Linked DNA regions of Oreochromis niloticus. Each later gene encodes a partner of the first gene's protein in a complex. Links are inferred from orthologs where the notes say so. Each region holds a gene or a part of one and is shown on either strand. Other genes may lie near its edges.

Evidence for each region.
Region 2: the proteins of csf3r (region 1) and csf3a are in contact, whole or in part, in a crystal structure (PDB 2D9Q), measured with the Homo sapiens proteins. The link is inferred for Oreochromis niloticus from reciprocal best matches to the Homo sapiens genes CSF3R and CSF3. Residues at the interface, in NP_000751.1 of Homo sapiens: Arg164, Arg190, Lys191, Leu193, Leu194, Leu195, Tyr196, Gln197, Asp220, Met222, His261, Ile262, Asn263, Arg311, Pro313, Leu314; in NP_000750.1 of Homo sapiens: Ser42, Leu45, Lys46, Glu49, Gln50, Arg52, Lys53, Leu141, Asp142, Asp145, Thr148, Thr149, Gln152.

Annotation. Positions count from the first base shown.
Region 1 is NC_031976.2:26,817,892-26,827,445, forward strand, and holds the start of csf3r (granulocyte colony-stimulating factor receptor), read left to right. Parts: upstream 1-5,385; 5' UTR 5,386-5,543; intron 5,544-7,168; exon of another isoform or gene 7,169-7,354; intron 7,355-9,283; 5' UTR 9,284-9,389; intron 9,390-9,554. UniProt on the Homo sapiens protein: Receptor for granulocyte colony-stimulating factor (CSF3), essential for granulocytic maturation. Plays a crucial role in the proliferation, differentiation and survival of cells along the neutrophilic lineage.
Region 2 is NC_031973.2:19,710,417-19,719,705, reverse strand, and holds csf3a (colony stimulating factor 3 (granulocyte) a), read left to right. Parts: upstream 1-5,222; 5' UTR 5,223-5,255; coding exon 5,256-5,271; intron 5,272-5,326; exon of another isoform or gene 5,327-5,422; intron 5,423-5,796; coding exon 5,797-5,969; intron 5,970-6,479; coding exon 6,480-6,587; intron 6,588-6,678; coding exon 6,679-6,825; intron 6,826-6,925; coding exon 6,926-7,117; 3' UTR 7,118-7,754; downstream 7,755-9,289. Other genes in the region: med24 (mediator of RNA polymerase II transcription subunit 24), read right to left, coding at 8,083-8,199, 8,794-8,942. UniProt on the Homo sapiens protein: Granulocyte/macrophage colony-stimulating factors are cytokines that act in hematopoiesis by controlling the production, differentiation, and function of 2 related white cell populations of the blood, the granulocytes and the monocytes-macrophages.

The DNA.
Region 1 (9,554 bases):
GCAATGCTGACTGTCTTCCGTTACAAAGCCTCAGTTAATAAGAGCGTGTATGTGCTGTGTGTTTTGAAATGTGTGTATTTCCTTCTCGTGTTTCTTCCCCTCCTCTTGTTGTCCCACGCAAGGCTCTCACTGAGCTCACTATAGCCTGCCAGCACAACTGACCTGTGGTAAGGGGGAAATCAATAGTCAATTCCATTTTGCAGCCAGCGTGTGACAGGTACTAGATAGGAGTGGATTGGGTGCATGTAAGGAGCAGGAGCGCGAGTTGGAGCTTGTCTGACCCTCTCCTTTCTCTGTCTTTCTCTCCCTTTCCCTCTCTCACACACACAGTGGCTCACAGGCTCACTCAACCAACCCGCAAGGTCGACACAGCAGTGTAGTGCCAGAGGCCACGCTCAATAGTGTAACACAACTCGGGGGTGTATACACACATTAAACAGTGTCAATGCTGAATGTGATTGTGCTCACAAGTGAACTTGTATGACAAGCACCATGAATGTGCAGAGAACATAACTATGATTTTATGGAGACCTATTATGGAAATTCAGTTACTGACAGTTTTTGTTTTTAATTGTTGTCACACATTTTGTGCAAGTAAAGCCATTTACACAAATTGCATTAAACTAAGACAGTGATCACACTATGTGATCCCAAGCATGTTTAATCTCCAACGTTCGTTAGGTTCATTTGACTGGTGTGGTTGCTGTGTACTATGTCTGGTCAAGGTTTAGTGTTCTGCACCCTGGTGCACTTCACACTCGTGAAGTGTGTAGGAAGTCCCGTGCTTCCTCAATGATGGTGCTCTTTGTAAAAATTGCTTTATTAAGTAATTTACACATCTATAAGGCATGTGATAGAGCAGTGTGTCACCGTTTCCAAAACTGCTCCGACTATACCACAAAGTGCAAAATCAGGAACCCGATTGTCATCCATAATATCACGTTTCCAAAGCAAGTTAGAGAGCATGAGAAGTTAGTCTCAGGATTTTTCTAACTACTCTCTTTTGGCTATCAATACCATCATTGTGTTTGATCCCCAAAGAGCAGGGACAATGAAAGGCAGCTATGCCTAGTGTGAGTATGCCTTAAGAATATCTGGGGCCAGATAGCACAATGGGAACACAGGTTTGCTGGGAAATGGTCGGTGACAGTCTTGTTCAGGCATAGACCAAGACAACTGTGCCACCCTAAGTGCGCTCACAGATATAATCAAACTAACAAACTTACAGAGATTTATATTAGGTATAGAATACACATCCACATAAATCCTACCTACCAAATCTGCTTTTAATTGTGTAGCAAAGCAAGCTGAATTCAAGCCATGCTAGCAAAAAACAATCGATAAAACTGTAAACTGTACAGTGATAATGAAAAGTTTAGGAAGCATGTAGAATAAGGTCTTGTCAGGTCTCTTTGGTTTATTTAGTTCAACTTAATCCATCTATTTTCTTTTCATTTGAAATATAACTGTTTTTGTGCTTATTCTAAAATATTGCAAATATGGTAAACATGCCTGCGTAATACTAGGATAGCATTGAATAGCACTGAAATATCAGGAAGCATTATCACTGTGAACATGCAAGTATACTGTCATTAGCATTTCACTTAAGTTGAGTCTCAGAGCAACAACATGGCTGTTATATTTTTTAACACAAAGATATATTTTTTTGAATGTCCATCCTTTTATTATTTGCATTAGTTCTTTCCAGTTCCATTAGTTCTTTCAGCCTCTTCTTCAAAGAATGAAGTGTGTTCTCTTTTCTGGAGGTTATATTTTAATGATTTGAAGCTCTGGTAGAATTATACAAATGGACTGGAGGTAGATCACTTTGAAATATAATTTCGAATAGGCTCTTTAAATAAATAATTAAAAAGAACACATATTATGGACTTTTTATTCCCAGTGTTGTGATTCAGTTCAAAAGCATACAAAAATGTGGGACACAAAATAGGCAGGTGCAAGAGCAACCAAAATGAGCTTTAATAACAGAATCAGGTACAAAGAACGCGCGCGCACACACACACACACACACACACACACACACACACACACACACACACACACACACACACACACACACACACACACACACACACACACACACACACATCTGTCTCTTTCTATCTATATCTCTATATATTGAGAGGGAGAGATGGAAATCACAACACAAACCAATAAGCTGGAAAATAAAAAGCTATGGGGAAAGAAACAGAGGCAGGACAAGACACAGACTTAAAAGAAGTGGTAAGTAGAAGTTAAGGTTGACTAATTAAACACATGTGAAACAAAAAGGGTAGGCAGAAAATCAAAAAGAAAGAAAAATTAAAAGTAGGAAGTAAAACCGAAAGCTAACAGACAAATAAATAACATAATGAATCAATAAACAGCCCCCCACAGACTTCAAACCATCATGCAGACTTTTGTTTTAAAATCTACAAATACTAGTAGTATCATTGAAAATGAAAAACTTTCAGTCAAATATCCATCAAAAATATAAATAGATTTTTTTCCTGTAGTATAGATAGATAGATATATAGATATTTTTTGCTAGTCTCTTAAATATTTTTGACCAGTCCTATGCAAAATAAAAATCAGTATATTGACATATGCAAAGGTAAATGTAAAGACTGTTACCCAAATATTTCCTATTTTTACTTTTAACACAATATATGTCATGGTGGAGCAGCAAATGATAAAAATGAAGAGGAACAAATCCAGTGAGTGGATGATGGCCATTCATTCCTAACAACAAAAACTGGCACCCGATTCTCATCTGTGAAGAGAATCGGGTGCCAGTAGTGGACCTGCCAGTTTTGGTGTTGATCTGCGTCGTACTGGGCTGTGAGTAAAAGCTTAAATAAAGGATGTTGGACCCTGTTGGTCAGACATGTAAACATAGGTGATCCAGTGGAGATCATTTTGCATTGCCAGTGTATGTCCTGTGTCTCCTTGCACAAAGGAGCAGATGTTGTTCCTGGAGCTGGATTGATGGCCTTTTACAGCTCTTTTCCACTCTCCTTTTGTAACTCCATGTGTCCTAGTACCTCAAATACAAGACTGCTCTGAGCTGTGTCTGCTCAGAGACACAGCAAACTTTATTCTAATGGCTTGTATTGATGTGGCATCCTGGAGGAACTACCTCTGAAACCTAAATGGGCTGCAGGTACCAGATCATGCTACCAGTAGTGACAAGACACAACTGGTAATTGGGTAAGAGGGCTTTTTTGGGCAAGACAACAGTCCACCCTCTGTGAGGTACAGGCATAGGTGCAAGCCTGAGGAAAACCACAAAGGCACTGGGGAAACAAAGCTGTGAAAGGAAGCTACTGGATGCAGGAAAATGACATAGACTGAGGGACAGCACACCAGCGAAGGCAGCTGCAGGGGGTGGCTGCAAGATGTCCCCAGTCTGCTACCAGACCCCCACTGGAAGATGAACTGGTTTCGTGGGCAAACATCTATGAGCGGGGATACCAGCGGTGAAACCCTGCAGTTGACCTGATCACAGGTGGAGATGCAACAGGCTAAAGCCGAAGCAGGAAACATCACCTCACCTGGACAATGAACTTATTTACATAAAACATCTGCAAAACTACACAAGCACACTTGTATGTTGAAGCGACAGAAGATTTATAAAAAATCTAATTATTTTACAGTATTTTTCTAGAGTTCCAGCTCCAAGAATGACTGTTTTTTTGAAGTTTGTTGTTTCAATGTACAGTAAAAATGTCTCAATATTTTATTTTACTTTTATTTTTGTTTTCTTGCATGTACTTCTCATTTGAAATCCCCTTGCAACATTTTCTGGGGTTCCAGACCTGTGCTTACACCAAGCCTTTCAAAAGCCCTCAGTTTCTTCTTTCAGAGGTTCACTTCCCATTCAACGTTAATTTTGGCCATATTGCCTCACTCTATTGTAAGTCAGTTATTGATCAAATGCAGAATTCATTACTGAGTATGTGAGCGTGAGCTTCCTCGTCTTTAAGTCAGCGAAGCAGTCCACCATGATGTTGTCTGTTCGTTCACTGGCAAATGATAGTTTTGGTGTGCCATCAGTAAATAGGGTTCTGTTGAGTTTAATGAAACAAAACTGTAATAATTTTGGCAACAAAAATCTTAATCAGTGCAATCAGTATTTTACATAACTGGTGGTAAAGAATGCTGCATTCGACTTATCAGGCTGAGTGCAGTAGTGGAATGTCACTCTTGTAACAGAGGGCAATATTCAGTATTTCAGTATACACGATTAGCAGAATTACAGCAGTTGTGACTGCAGTTCACTATAGTATTTCACTGTATAGAAGCAGACAGATATGAGATGATGTTTACAGCAGTGTCTAATTTAGGTTAGTCGCATTTCTAAGGTGAATGAGAATCTAAGGAGGAGACAGCATTCTGTTAAGCATAGGACAAAAACCGTAATCAAACCTAGCAAAGCTTCATCAGTTCAACTTGGCTTCGGGGCCCTCAGCTAATTTTACCGCTCACTGAAACATAGCGTGTAATACCCAGTGGATGGCAAACGCTTCGTTCATTATTGCTGATTAGGGGGAAAAAAGATCAAGCAAAATATGTCAACTCATGATAACCAGTTAATGTGTTTTTAATTAATGCCTGCTTTTCTTTTCTCCAGGTTGACTCCTACCCTAAAACCTACCAGTGCGTGGATTTAATTCCTCCTCCAGCGGCTTCTTGATTAACAGTTAGCTTCCATTATGCTTTTGAGGGCACGAGAGTGACCGTGCAGGGATGCAGCTGTTAGATTAAAAGTGGAGTGGGTGAGCTTGCTGGGTCTCCTTGCATGCAGTGAAATGAGACCTAAGCCACCGATTCATTTTAGAATTTAATAAGCTAATAATCGTGATATGGCAACTAGTTTCAAGTGCCCTTGGGGGGGTCAAGGCACAGTTTACAATCCCATTTAAGAGCTTGTTCTATTACCATGCTGACAAAGTCTTAGACAGGCTCAGAGAGGGAGATGAGTGCATTTTGAAGCTACTTCAAAGGTCACACAAAACACAGAGGGGTCAGCCTGAACCAGAATGATCACATTCTTCTTGCGAGAAGACTCCCTGGAGTCCAACTGAAGGACATTTGACAGCTGCTGTATTAGCATCTTCTGGGAAAGTACTGAAAATTCAATTCAGTTGACATTTAACAGCTATAATTTGAGCTATAATGATTGTTCTAATTACTCCATTTAGAAAAACAATGCATATTATTGTGACAAATTAAACAGCCAACACCACCTGTGAAAAAAAAAAATTTGCTGAGCTTTTAAAAATTTGAATTTGAGCAATGTGAACTCCCCACTCTTCCTTCCCATAACTGGGCCCCATCAGTCACATGTTTCTTCTTGGAAAATAGCAGTTTCACAAATGCAAAACAAGGATGTTGCTGCCTGTGCTGCTTCTTGGCACACACACACACACACACACACACGTCCTCAAATCCGAGCTACTTTGAGCCACGCTGTTTCATCTGGTGCTATCAGGGCTGATAAGAGCCTCTTGTCTTTCTGGGTCTGCTGCAGCTGCTGTGTGGTGAGTGGCAAGCCTCTCTGATGACTCTCCTTTATCTTCACATCAAGCAATTTGCTGCTTCTTTCATTTTGATACTTGTGCCAGATTGAAGAGGAAAACTTTGCTAAACTTGTTTCTGAATGAGGTTAAAGCTAGGTAGTTGCATCCTCATCTACATGTAAGTTATGGACCACTCAACTTATTTAAAAAAAATCATCTTTAATCCATGTTTAATCTGATTTTCTGGTCCCTCTGTATTGTAGATGTGACATTTATCATCCTTTGTAGTTTAATACCTAATACACACACACACACTACACACTCTTAATACATTTAGGATTAAATAAGCAATACTAAGATAAGACGGTGCTTTATAGTACTTGAAGGGTATCGTTTGAAAAATTTAAAAATAAGTTATTAGATCGTTGCACAAAGGGCTTTTTACCTAAACCTTTATTAAATTTAGTACAATACAGCAATGTCGCCCAAGTCATGATTGTCTTAAGAGCTTGAAAAAGAAGGCGACTGGACTTCTTTATGATTTTTGAAGTTGTTTCACCCCTCACAACTGAAAAAATGTCTTCGATTAGAGGTGAAATGTCTTTAAAAACCTTAAAGAAATCCAGCCGCCTTCCTTTTCAAGCTCTAAAGACTACACTATGGCAATATTTTTAACATGTTTTATGACTGCAGTTTTCTTCTAATCACGGGGGCAACAGTATTTTAGTGTATGGAAAACATGTTCTGACAATTTAAAAATCGGAAGCGAAAAAGATTCAATCGGTGTGGGATTTTAGATACTGCCTACATAAAAGGTCAGCATGTCTTAACATCCATGATAGGAAAAAACGAATCAATTCTTTAACTCCTTTTAAATCTCTTTTCAAAACACACTGTATAGTGTGAGAAATAAAACCAAAAAGGGGAAATAGCGGTGAGTCTGTCATTACACTTTGCAATGTGTGAGGGATATTGCCAAATCCTTAAAGTGGGCGTTCTGTAACCCTCAACAGCAACAGGAAAGGAAATCTACAGAAGTTGTAGCAAAATATTTCTTTTAACATGGAGACATGACTCACCGAGACCCGAAAATAAATTCTGCATAATGTATTCTCATCTATATGTTCTGAACATAATTGGCCGAAACACAAAGAATAGCCAGACTTCATTTATTCTGCCTTTATTTTAAGTATGTCATATTGTGTTATTGACAAAATACACTCCAAGTCTAATACGCTTTTCTGCTCTCCACCTCGTCTCTCTCGCTCACTCTCTCTGTCTTTCCTTCAATTGCCTTTTGTCAGAGCCACAGGCAATTACCTATTAGTAGTAAGCAGAAATTCTAAAAAGGAGAGCGGGGGGAAATGGGGGCCTTTTTGCACAGTGCTGATAAGAAACGGGGAGAAAATTCCATTTCTCTCTCATTGCAAAACGCAGTCTTCACCAAATAGTTATTTTGGACTGAGGGCAGCGATCTAACAGTTTGAGTGATAGTTACAAATTATACAAATTTTAGGTTATACTTCCTCATCTTATGGAGGTGTTACAATGCCACTACGAACATAACATTTCTGGTCAACGGTTGAATGTTATTCTAGACCAGAAATGCTTATAGGCAAAATCTAATACGTCATTTGTGTCTTTAGCCTACAGAACAAATTGAACTGGACTCTGAACAGTCGCCTGATGTTGTGCGCATGCTACATGTTAACCTGAGGAACTGTGAGTTTCTCAGCTTATTCTCAGAAACAGGCAGGTTGAGTGTTACAAGACCACAGGAAGTTTCTCAATGCTGTACCACTTACTGGTTCTGGGTAGATGTCTGTATGTTGGTGAGTCATGCACACACACACATTCAGTACTGTGCAAATGTCTTATTTCTTTCCCCATCACATATTTTTTTTTAGATTTTTCTTGGAAAATGGCTGCAGTGATTTATCGAAACATGCATGTATAAATTGAAAAACAGTATACAGGGTAAAACCAGTTCTAACAAGTGCAGTCAAAGAGTGCAACTCTCATGAAGGGCAAAGGCTATATGAAAACTTTTTATTACAAGATGCGCCCTGCTTTCATATCAACACACTGATGTTTGACTTTTGACCTATGACCTTTTAGCATTACATACTAAAATGGTGTGTTTTATTATCTTTACCTGTATGATTGGAGTAGAACTGGCTGAAATCTTTGGCTACTATAAACTGTAAAGGAGGAGGACAACAGGACAATTTGGTAAAATTGTTACCAAAATAATGAATATTGCACAAATTATTTCCTCTGTATTTTTTGTATTTTAGTTTTCAAATTCACAAAATCATTTGAGTTATTTTCCCTTTTTTAAAGTCTACTTTTCATTTTATTTCAGTTAACAAAAATAAGCTTCATGACCATTTTTCTTCTTCAAAACAGCCTGACCTCATGTAGGCATGCTTTCTTGTAATTTAAGTAGTCTTCAGGAATAGGTCTCCAGGCATCTTGAGGGAAATTAAAAACTCTTCTTCAAATCTTGTCTGCCTGTTGTTTCATCCTCTGCAAGGATGATCCAACACTGCGTCAGTAATATTGAGGCTCAGGTTCTGGGGAGGTCAGTCCATGACTGATAGTATTCCACTGTGTGTTTTTTCTATACAGCCATGCTTTTACTGCATTGGCAGTGTGTCTGTCATCACTGTCATGCTAAAAAATGAAAACACTGCCATTCAGATGCTTTCCAGATGGTATTACATGGTGGAACAAACTTTGACAGTACTATTCTGTGTTCATAGTTCCATCAGTTTTGACAAGATTCACAACCTCTCTGGTGGAAAACAGCCCCAAACCATGACAGAACCTCCAGTGTGTTTTACAGATGACTGTAGATGACTGCTGTACCTCTCTCCTGACCACCTCTGTACATACTGACAATGATTTAAGCCAAAAATTTCACATGTGAATGCCACACTATTTTCAGATAAGTTTGTGTGTTATTTGGCTTAAACAACTGTAGATGAATCCACAGAACTAAAAACTGGTTAAAAAGCAGCCAATGTCCAGAGAATAAACCGGAGCACTGTTGTTCTAGACCACTTTAAAAATTATTAGAAAGTATGGCTTCAGTGAAGCAAAACTAAAAGAAATGAGGGGTGATTCAAGATTTTTGCACAGTACTGCACGTCAGTCTGAAATGTAGTTCTGATGAAGACATAAGGGAATTAACAATAAATAATTTGGCATAATTTTAGAGAATTCCCAAGAGGTTTCCTTACTACTGAGTTGCTTGAAGTCTTTAATGAATTTAAAACTCTACTCTCACATTTTTATGATTCTGCTCCCTCGTAATGCTGTTTATCAGTTGCAAACTTTCGTTACCATCTGGTATTTTATTTTATAATATAAAATGACACCTGTCCAAAATTGAAATGTCCAGAAATAAATATTTAAATTTTACTCAACATTTTTAACAATTCTTTCATGCACTGAACACAATATTTTGATCTTCTAGTAACAAAATCACTATTGTCATGTGAAATATTGTTTTGAACGTTTTTTATTGTACATACACTGGCTTTAATGCATTAAATTCTGCAAAACGTGATCGTCTGAATAATTTGCACAAATTTTAAAACTACATGTCTATATGTCAGAATTTAACGGTGTTCATTATACAATTAAATGTCCTTTTAATACCACTAAAAAACTCAATTCCATTGTTTTCTGTTACTTTGGTAATCAGTTAGTAATTGCTTTAGTACTCTAAACTATTTGTCTTTTCTTCCACACAGTACCTTACAGTTGCAGAGATACTGATGTAGGCTGTGACGGCATGTCCGGGAAGTGCTTTGTAAACCAGAACAAAGATTTCTGTGAATTTTAAACTTCTGTGTAATGGTAAGTTCCCTAACTGATTCTCGAACTAAAGTGCAAAGTTGACTTTATATAAAAAGCGCAGTATGTTTGAGAAATGCTGCCATAACTTTACCAACCAGTTCTCATTTTGCTATAGTCACACTACGGACCGTGACATAAGAAAATTATTTGTCTCCACAACTGCTT
Region 2 (9,289 bases), on another chromosome or scaffold:
GGACCAAGTTCAAAACAGAGGTAGGCACTGACAGAAACACTGGGAGAGTGATTACTATAAATACTACTGCACCGTCAAATCATAGTTCATGGAAGATCTACAGTAGTTCAGCTTAGTTGTTTTTTATTTATAAAACTGTTTCTTTGAAAAGTAAATTAGAGTTTATATTTATAATAACTATAATATAATAACATCACTAATTGTAATTGAATTGCTAATGTGCAGTTGCATTTACAACAAATTAATCAGTGGATTATGTCATATTATGATTCATAATTATGAAACATAACAGTGAGGCCTCATCACTGGCTTGTACTCGATCAGTTACATATACTCTCACTGAACTGAACTATTGTGTAGATTAGCAAAGTGGCTCCTGCCTCTGATACCTGATCTTGTTAATGTGACTTTGAGTTAATTTGCTTTTCAGGAAAAGAAAAATTAAGATTACTCTTATTTTTTTTTACCTAAGCTTACTCGTCAATTTGTTGAGCTTATTGAGGAAATGCTAAATGCACTGGTTATACTGTGTAGCGTTTTTCCACTCTGAGCACTCAAAGTGCTTTATACAACTAATTCACACTAATTCACACTAATTCTTACAAGCACTTTTTTCTATGCCTTTTCTATGTAAGTGCTTTCTATCTAACATTCATATAAATTCATACTCTGATGGATGCATCGGTTAGTTTCTTGCCCAGGGATATTTAGCCTGCAGACTGGAGCAGCCAGGCATCAAACCAGCAACCTTCTGATTTGCAGATGACCCCCTCTCCCAGTACCAGCGCCTTGGATTATATGTTCTTTATTTCAATTTTAGCCTATATAAACTAGCTTATGAAAACCTTTTGTAGATTGGACCAACCAAAACCAAATGGAAAAACTGGGTTTACCTGTGTCGATGTCATGAACTTGGTCCTAGTGATGAAGTTCACACAGGTTTTGGTTACAACTGTCGAAAATAAATAGTTGTTTATCATCCCGTTGTTTATCAGCTCGAGATGATTTAAATGAGGTGTAATCAGGTCCTTCGGGAGGAGTTGGGCTCTCTGAATGCTCTTGTTTGACATGTGAATGCAAATTATGATGTAACACATTTCATTCTCTTTTTTGCCCAACAAACCATAATGAAAAGCTAAAGATTCATTTGCAGGCTGGAGTGTAACAAGCAAATGACTTGTGGTCTATGCAATAACAGGAAGTCATAGACCAAATCCTCGTAGTTAGTGTGTACAGACAGCTACACATTTTGTCATGACGAAGTCAGATTTTTTTTAAGGAATTACAAGTTATAGCATCGTCACCATGTCTGTGAAGTGACTGACACTAAAATCACTTCCCCAACATCATTTTTTCCTCTCCGGACATCTTTTTTTCTGAGGAACCTACCTCGTTAGTTTGAACGCATATCTACTCAGACGGGCTGACATTCAACGTAAAACGAATGATGCAAACCATCTTTCTCAACCGGTCACCGCTTTTGTAAGAGGTTACCGGTATCAACCGATTAAACACAACTGTCTTTATAGAAAATCAGTGCAAAGGCCTTAGCTTTAGTGTTAAAACAAATACAGAAACAGATGAGGATTTTCAGCACAGCGGCGAATGATTCTGTTTTAAGGGATCATGACATCTAGAAGAACCAAAAATAAGACTTACATATTAAGAAAAACTTTTTCTTCCTTTAATTCCTTTAACTATTTGTACATTTTATGGTAATCAAACCCTTCAGTCATTTTCTGGAGGGGTTTCAAGGCATTTAAGGTAGAACTATCTGTTTCATGTCTCACATGCCAATTAAAATTCCATCTTAACCTCCACAGTATGTCCAGATTCATCTGTGGATCCAGCGTTTAAATTAAGAGCTCAGCATTTGTCAACATAATTCAAAGTTCAACAAACCGCAAGGCTTTCAGTCACAACTGACATATTATACAAAGTGTAATCAACTCATGCATCAGGTATCGTTCCTCTTCCACTACGCAGGGCACGACTGTTCAACCCTTCTCTGCTTAGCCCAGTGCAGGGCCAGCACATTGTTCCTCTGTTACAACCAAATCATGTTTCCAACAAGGTCACCGCTGGGCCGTAGAGAGAGATTACAGCAGTGAATGAATGCCTCCTTTCACGGAGAGGAATGATTGGAGATCAGAGCAGTGTAGATTTCAGGGATCAGATTTGACAGCTTTATTTCACAACCCATCAAGCATGGCCACATATCAGAGCTACACCGACTGATCAAGTGCCTCATGTTAGAGCAAGAAGAGAACCGATCCTATCGACGGCTACAGAGGAGACACAGGACTGACCTGCGAGGTGATTACACTCTGACTATGATGTTTAGACATGTTTTCAAGTCAAACCTGATAACCAAGGCAATGAAACTGAAATTAAAATTATGACTTTAAACATGACTTAACATAAAACATTGTGATAGAGCTGAAATGTACATGAGGGAACTGTATCTCACACATGCCTTGCTACATCAAATCATAATGATTCATGAGTTATAGTAATGTTCGCGCCTTATTTATGGTCAGGTCTGCAGATCATGCAATAGACTAAAAACCAACCCAGTAATGACAGAATTCCTAATGCTGTAGTCATGATTAATTCAGAATAACTTCATCATCATGCCATGATGACTTCAGAGGAAGTGGTGACCAGATCCATCTTTAGCACTCATAAATAAAGGATAAACAATAGATGTCCATGTCCACAGACTGTATGTATTTACGGAACAGGTTGGCAATAAAACTAACATACAAAAAAACCCCCTAAAATAATACATGATACAATTAACACTCACATAAAAGCCTTCTACCACCTGAAGAACATTTCCAGACACCCATCAGACTACGCAGATGAAACCCTCAGTCCTTCCTGGCTAGACTCCTGCACTGGTGTGCTGTTAGGTCTGCTCAACAAGGCCCTGGAAAGACTGTAGTGTGTTCAGAACTCAGCTGACAGACTTCTTACTCTCAGTCCTGGCAGCCTCTGAAACCCACCCATATACGCCTCCACTGGCTCCCAGTCAAGTCCAGCGTCTCCTATAAAATCCTTCTCTTTACCTGGAACTCCCTACATGCTACATGACCCCCAGGACTTACTGGACCTTCTCCTCCTCCAGTTCAATTTAATTCAATTCAATTCAATTTTATTTATATAGCGCCAAATCACAACAACAATCGCCTCAAAGCACTTTATATTGTACAGTAGATCTTACAATAATAGATACAGAGAAAACCCCAACAATCATATGACCCCCTATGAGCAAGCACTTTGGCGACAGTGGGAAGGAAAAACTCCCTTTTAACAGGAAGAAACCTCCGGCAGAACCAGGCTCACGGAGGGGCGGGGCCATCTGCCGCGACCAGCTGAGGTGAGAGAAGGAAAACAGGATAAAGACATGCTGTGGAAGAGAGCCAGAGATTAATAGCAGGTAGGATTCAATGCAGAGAGGTCTATTAACACATAGTGAGTGAGAAAGGTGACTGGAAAGGAAAAAATCAATGCATCATGGGAATCCCCGGCAGCCTACTCTATTGCAGCATAACTGAGGGAGGATTACTCCTCCCTCAGTTATGCTGCAATAGGGTCACCTGGTCCAGTTCTAACTATATGCTTTAGCAAAAAGGAAAGTTTTAAGGCTAATCTTAAAAGTAGACCCCATCTTGTAAATATTACTATTTAGGGACATAGTGTACAGTTGAAATAGCTTGTAAAAAAAAATATAATAATAATAAAGAAGAACAAACAAAGAGACACAGTATATATGATTATTATAATTAGATAGATCACACACTCGCTGGAATTAAGTGCATTAAATTCCATAACTGTTGACTTTAATGTGGAGAACCTATTGAATCGTAATTTTTTTTTAATATATTACTGAAGCATGGCAAGTGTTCAAAGACGAGCCCACCAGGGGGGACTGTTGTATCCGTTGTAAGTCTTTTCACTTCTTCTCTGTAGACGACACAAAATCCGGTGATGTCACTAACCCGAAATCAGTGGGCAGCTGTATGAATGACAAGAGGAAAAACTTTGATCGTCCTTAATACCGCAACAGGAACCACAATAAATAAATAAATAAATAAATAAATAAATAAATAAAAAAAATCTAAACACAACGTTTACAGTGTGGGGGTGCAGCTTGGTGTAGATAATCGAGATTGAGGTGACTTGATCTCTTGACAGATTAGGCAGTTACTTTTCGGCTGCTCCCTTATTGACAGGGGGCCGCCACAGACGGGAGCTGTTTGATCTTGGGATGAGATGTCACATGTTTCAGTCTATTAATAGATTTTTTCTAAAAAAAGGCACGTCGTCAGGTGACTCAATGGCTCAACAGGCAAATGACGATGGACAACATTAGAAAACAAAAGAATCCAGTGTTTCAAAAGGCAATAATTCACTGAATACTTTTTCATTTCCGTTCCGTTTCCTTCTCTCCTTCCTTTATATTTTACTAGTTTTGCACAATCTGTAGGACGACAGTAACTAGGAAATCTCACTTCCTAAAACGTAATTCTGGAATTGTATTACTTAACTATCAAATTTCCTTCTTCTTTCTTTCTTTTAAAAAATATTTTGTTACAATAAATAAATAAATGAATGAATAAATAAAAATCAGGTCCATCCATTTAACAAGTTTCATTACGACTTTTTAAATTTACCTTTTAATTATTATTGTTTTTTTTTAGATTTATTTGATTTTGTGTCCTTTTTTCAATTTAGTTATTTTATATCTGAATGTGACTCAAAATGTTTTCATATTTTTTAAAACAAGAGTTTTATTTATTTATTTTTTGTTTTATTTTGCTCCTATTTCTCCCCAAATTTATTAGTAGTAGTATTGTTAATAATAATAATAATGTTATTATTATTATTATTATTAGTAGTAGTAGTAAATTTCAGGTCCATCAATTTAACCTGTTTCATTACTTTTATTGAATGAGGGTTTTTTTTGTTTTGTTTTGTTTTTTCATTTTTAATGCTAAAAAAACAAGCCATACTTTTAATGTGAGCTTGATTAAATTTCTACTCATTTATTGGGGCCAATAATTTGTATTTGAAGTTTTTTTTTTTTTTTTTTTTAAAGTGCAAACGTGTATATTTTTAATCGAAACACCATCAGATGAGTAATTGGGGGAATTTCCTCCACACAGTCCAGCTTGACATATATAAGCCTGCCATAAATTGATGGTGTTCACTAGAGGTCAATACCTTAAAGGCATTCCCTAGCAGAGGCCATGCACATTCTGATTGGTGAGTAGTGAGGCAATCCTTACAAATTACTGATTTCTCCTCTCTGCTGATCGTCCCCAGAGAGCGAAAGCACTCTGTAGAGTGTAGGAAGCTACAAGAAAATTCAAAGGATCAGCCTTTGGACTAGCAGACATCTCTGACTGATAGAAAGGCAGGTTTGTTTTAGAAGCACCAGATGTTTTGATTCATTAATAGGGCTTTTATTCTGTGTTAACATCTGGTGCTTTTTAAAACATCTGCTTTTCTTTTCCACCATGCTGATCTACTGCAGTTACTTTTGGCTCAGGCTTCACATTACACGGGCTGTTCTCAACTGCTGCACATATTTAGCCCCAAGGGGGGACATGCCCAAATCTGCAGCAGAGAGGACCGGTTGAGAGGAGGCTTTGTTCTGCCTTTTGTTCTCCTCTGCCTCCACACAGCATACTGGATGAATAACGGGGGTTGTTTCAATGCTACGCCGCTGATGCCTTGAGATTCTTGTTTTTTTTAATTTTTGTTTTGTTTGCTTCTCTTTTTTTGCAGTTTTCGCCATTTCTTGCTACATGGCCACGTTCGCCTTCAGCGCACCTCTGCCGGAAAGAAGCGCACTTGTTGAAGATCCGGAATTTCAAGAGATTGTACAGAAATGCAAGCTGTTAACAGAGAAGATCCTTCTCTCTATCCCCGAAACACACAAATCCTGCATTAAGACGGAGGTGAGACACACTAATGCAGTTTTGCCTGGTTTCTTTAAAGCTTCTGCGTCATGACTTGTGTTTGATAATGTGCTGTCAGCGTAAGGAGCCTGCACGATCGAGCCTGTCAGCGGCGTTTGTATCTGAAATGCGCTTATGTAGCTGTTATGACTGATATGAACAGTCTCTGGAAAAGAAGCAGCACATGTCTGTCAATCGCCTTTTTTGTTTTAGATGACAGGCAACTGAGTTATCAACATCTGGCATGTTTTTTGTTTTTTTTTACACAGCTGGATTTTACTTGAGTATTTCTGAAACCACAAATAAAAGTCTCCTAATGACTCAGCATCTTGTAAGAACGCAGGACAAGTATTTCTGGTCTAGTTTTTAGGATGTGACATTTTAGTGCTTTAACTTAACGATCTGACTGCTGCCTTCACTGCCCCCCCCAAAAATCCCAACTCGTGTTTGCTTTGGAATTCCTCGCTGCTATACATCCTTAACAATTTGATGTTATTTCTTTTATCGTAGACTGTGCAGCTCAACTCCACAGATAATACGCGGTTTGAGATCATGAGGTCCGGGATTGGCATCCCCTCTGCTCCTCATATCAAAGCCCCGTCAGAAAACGTCACTTTGGTAAGCATTCTTTGAGAGTGAACTGTCATCATGCTTTGAGAGTCTATAAGCAGACATGATGACCAGTTTTTTTTTCTCTCCCTTCCATAAGGAGGACAGTTTGAGACAGCTCTATGAGGGTCTGCAGCTGTACCGGGCCTTGCTGGGCTCCCTCGGAAACTACCATAGGCTGGCAAACAAAGATAAAGTCACCGGGCTAATGGCTGATGTAAAAGACCTCGCCATTCAGATCAAAGAGGTAGGAGAATGTTTCTAAATTACAGCCAGTCTGACAAATAGTTTTTGCATGTTGCATCTTCTCAATGCTTAAAATCATTTTCCTTGTTTTGCTTTTTTAGATGCTAAAAATTGTCCGGCCACAAGGTTCACCCCACCCCACCAAACCCTCCGTGTCCTTAAATCTACCAGCAGAATACGAATTTCAGGTGGCAGCACACCTGACTCTGGTGGATCTCCAGTCCTACATTCAGGACCTGGTCCGCTTCCTCAGGACTCTGGACCGCAGCACAGAGGTGGACACAGAGTCCTAACCAAAAAGTGTCATACTTTGCTTTTGCCCAAAATGTACGTTATGGTATTTATTGATCTGTGAAAGCATTATTTATTTTTGTATTTGCATTTCATATTTATATATTTATTAACAGAACTGGACTGGACTATTTATTTCCACCGTTTAAAACTAAGGAAATGTTAACACAAGTGACTAATGCTCTGTAAAGCAGTACATTAACGTATTGCTAACAGCAGAATATTTTTGTATAATTTTTATTTAATTTATAACAATAATAATAATAATAATAATAATAATAATAATAATGACAATAATAATAATAATGATAATGTCTGTATTTTCTTATTTTTTAATTAAAAAACCATTTTTTTCTGAAAAACATTTGTACCTCTTTGTGAACTAACATGCATAATTATAGAAAACAATAAAATGAAACCCAAACTTCCAGTGAAGTTACTACTGTAATAGAGAAGTGCAACAAAGAGTGAAATAAGGACTTTGCTGTCATTATTTCCGCTACTGAACCAGACGGATGTCCTTTAAGAAGTGTTGCAAGCGGTGTATGACTGTGACAAGAGATGACCCACAGTGCCTTGTGTATGGTGTCATGTGTTGGGCTGGCTAGCATGTGATCATTCTGAGTCAAGGGACAACAACGACAGCGGCCACACGTCATGTTACCGAAACTCAAAAAACACAGAGGTGCCATAACACCATGACGTGTTACAAAAACTCACAAAACAAATGCAACCAATAAACACAGGCAAGCACAAAAAAAAAAAAGATTTTCTGTCTGATTTCTTTATTTATTCCAAAATTATTTACAAGTGTGAAAACAAAAAATATAAAAGAATATCAAAACAATGTGAGTCCAGAGCTCTTGCAGACTGTTTTCAGCCCTCTGCTGCGCTTTTGTTGCCCACCAACAGAAGATAAATCCGGCAATGCCTCGATTTATTTCGGAGGTAAATTTAACGCCGAGCCTCACAGAGCAGAGATGGCTTTGGCAGCTACACGTCTCCCCAGCGGCAGAGTCAGGTCAGTGATAGCGAGCACAACTTTAGGTTTGGCCAGAGCGGGCAGCTTCACCAACTCGGAAACCTAAATGTGCAAAAAAAGAAAAAAAAAAAAAGAATTAACTGTTATTCTGAGAGGCGGCATTTCCCAAGAAACACTAAGAATTTTAATGTGTTGCTCAAGGATAATTGTCATTCCTTTTTGAGTGGGTGTGTTTCTGACCCTTGATCTGGTTTTTATGGGACACTCATGATAAAATGTAAGTAGAACAAAAGAAAAGAATTAAGAAATACTTTTTCTCAGAACTAGAAAAAGATGTTCCACTAAATCAGCGAAGTTTTCTCCGTTACTCATTTTTTTCTCCTTTCTGTTATCAGTTCTGGTTTGTTCTTGGCATTTTACTCCATTTCAAACTCTGCACATGTTTTGAAAATGTGGCAACCCTAACATTTCGAAGCTTGTAGGAGTGATTAATATCTCTTGCAAATGCAAGAGGCATCTGTGCTATGACCTTCAGATTCCCTCTTGATCTTATCAGAACACTCAGTCTTTAAAGGCAGTAGAACACTTGTAAGCAGGATTCCTGAACCCTTCCCGATAATATCTAAAGAAGCAGTCATCCCTCTCCCTCCTTTATCTCCACCTGTCTGGCCTCTCCCCTCACAGCTCATAACTCACCATTGTAAAAGGCATGAACTGCAGGATGCTCCCACGGCTTCCCTGCTCCAGACACTCAACACACTCCTCCATGAAGCTCTGCACAAACTGGGTGTGAGGTCCAGCCATCTTTGAGCCAAGGATGGAGGAAATGAGGAGAAAAAGGTTGGCTAAAAGGAAGAGAACAGATGGTAAGTACTATCCTGCTGAATTATTTTATATCCCAAATCAAATCATCCCCAATATCAACACTACTATATCAACACCACTGACAAGATGAGTCCTCCTCTTGCTGCAGTGCACTGTTGGGCTGGGTGTTAGCATGCTCTGGCATAGAGCTGGGCGATAGAACAATAACGATATGTATTGCGAAATAACTTTTTGTCGATAGAAAAATTAAACTATTGCGATAGACCTCATCTCTCTTGTCCTCTTAAAAAAAAAGAAAGAAAAAGAACAGCCAATCCAAATTAAGTAGCACAGAGCCGAACCAATCACAGCCGCAGAGTCACGTCAC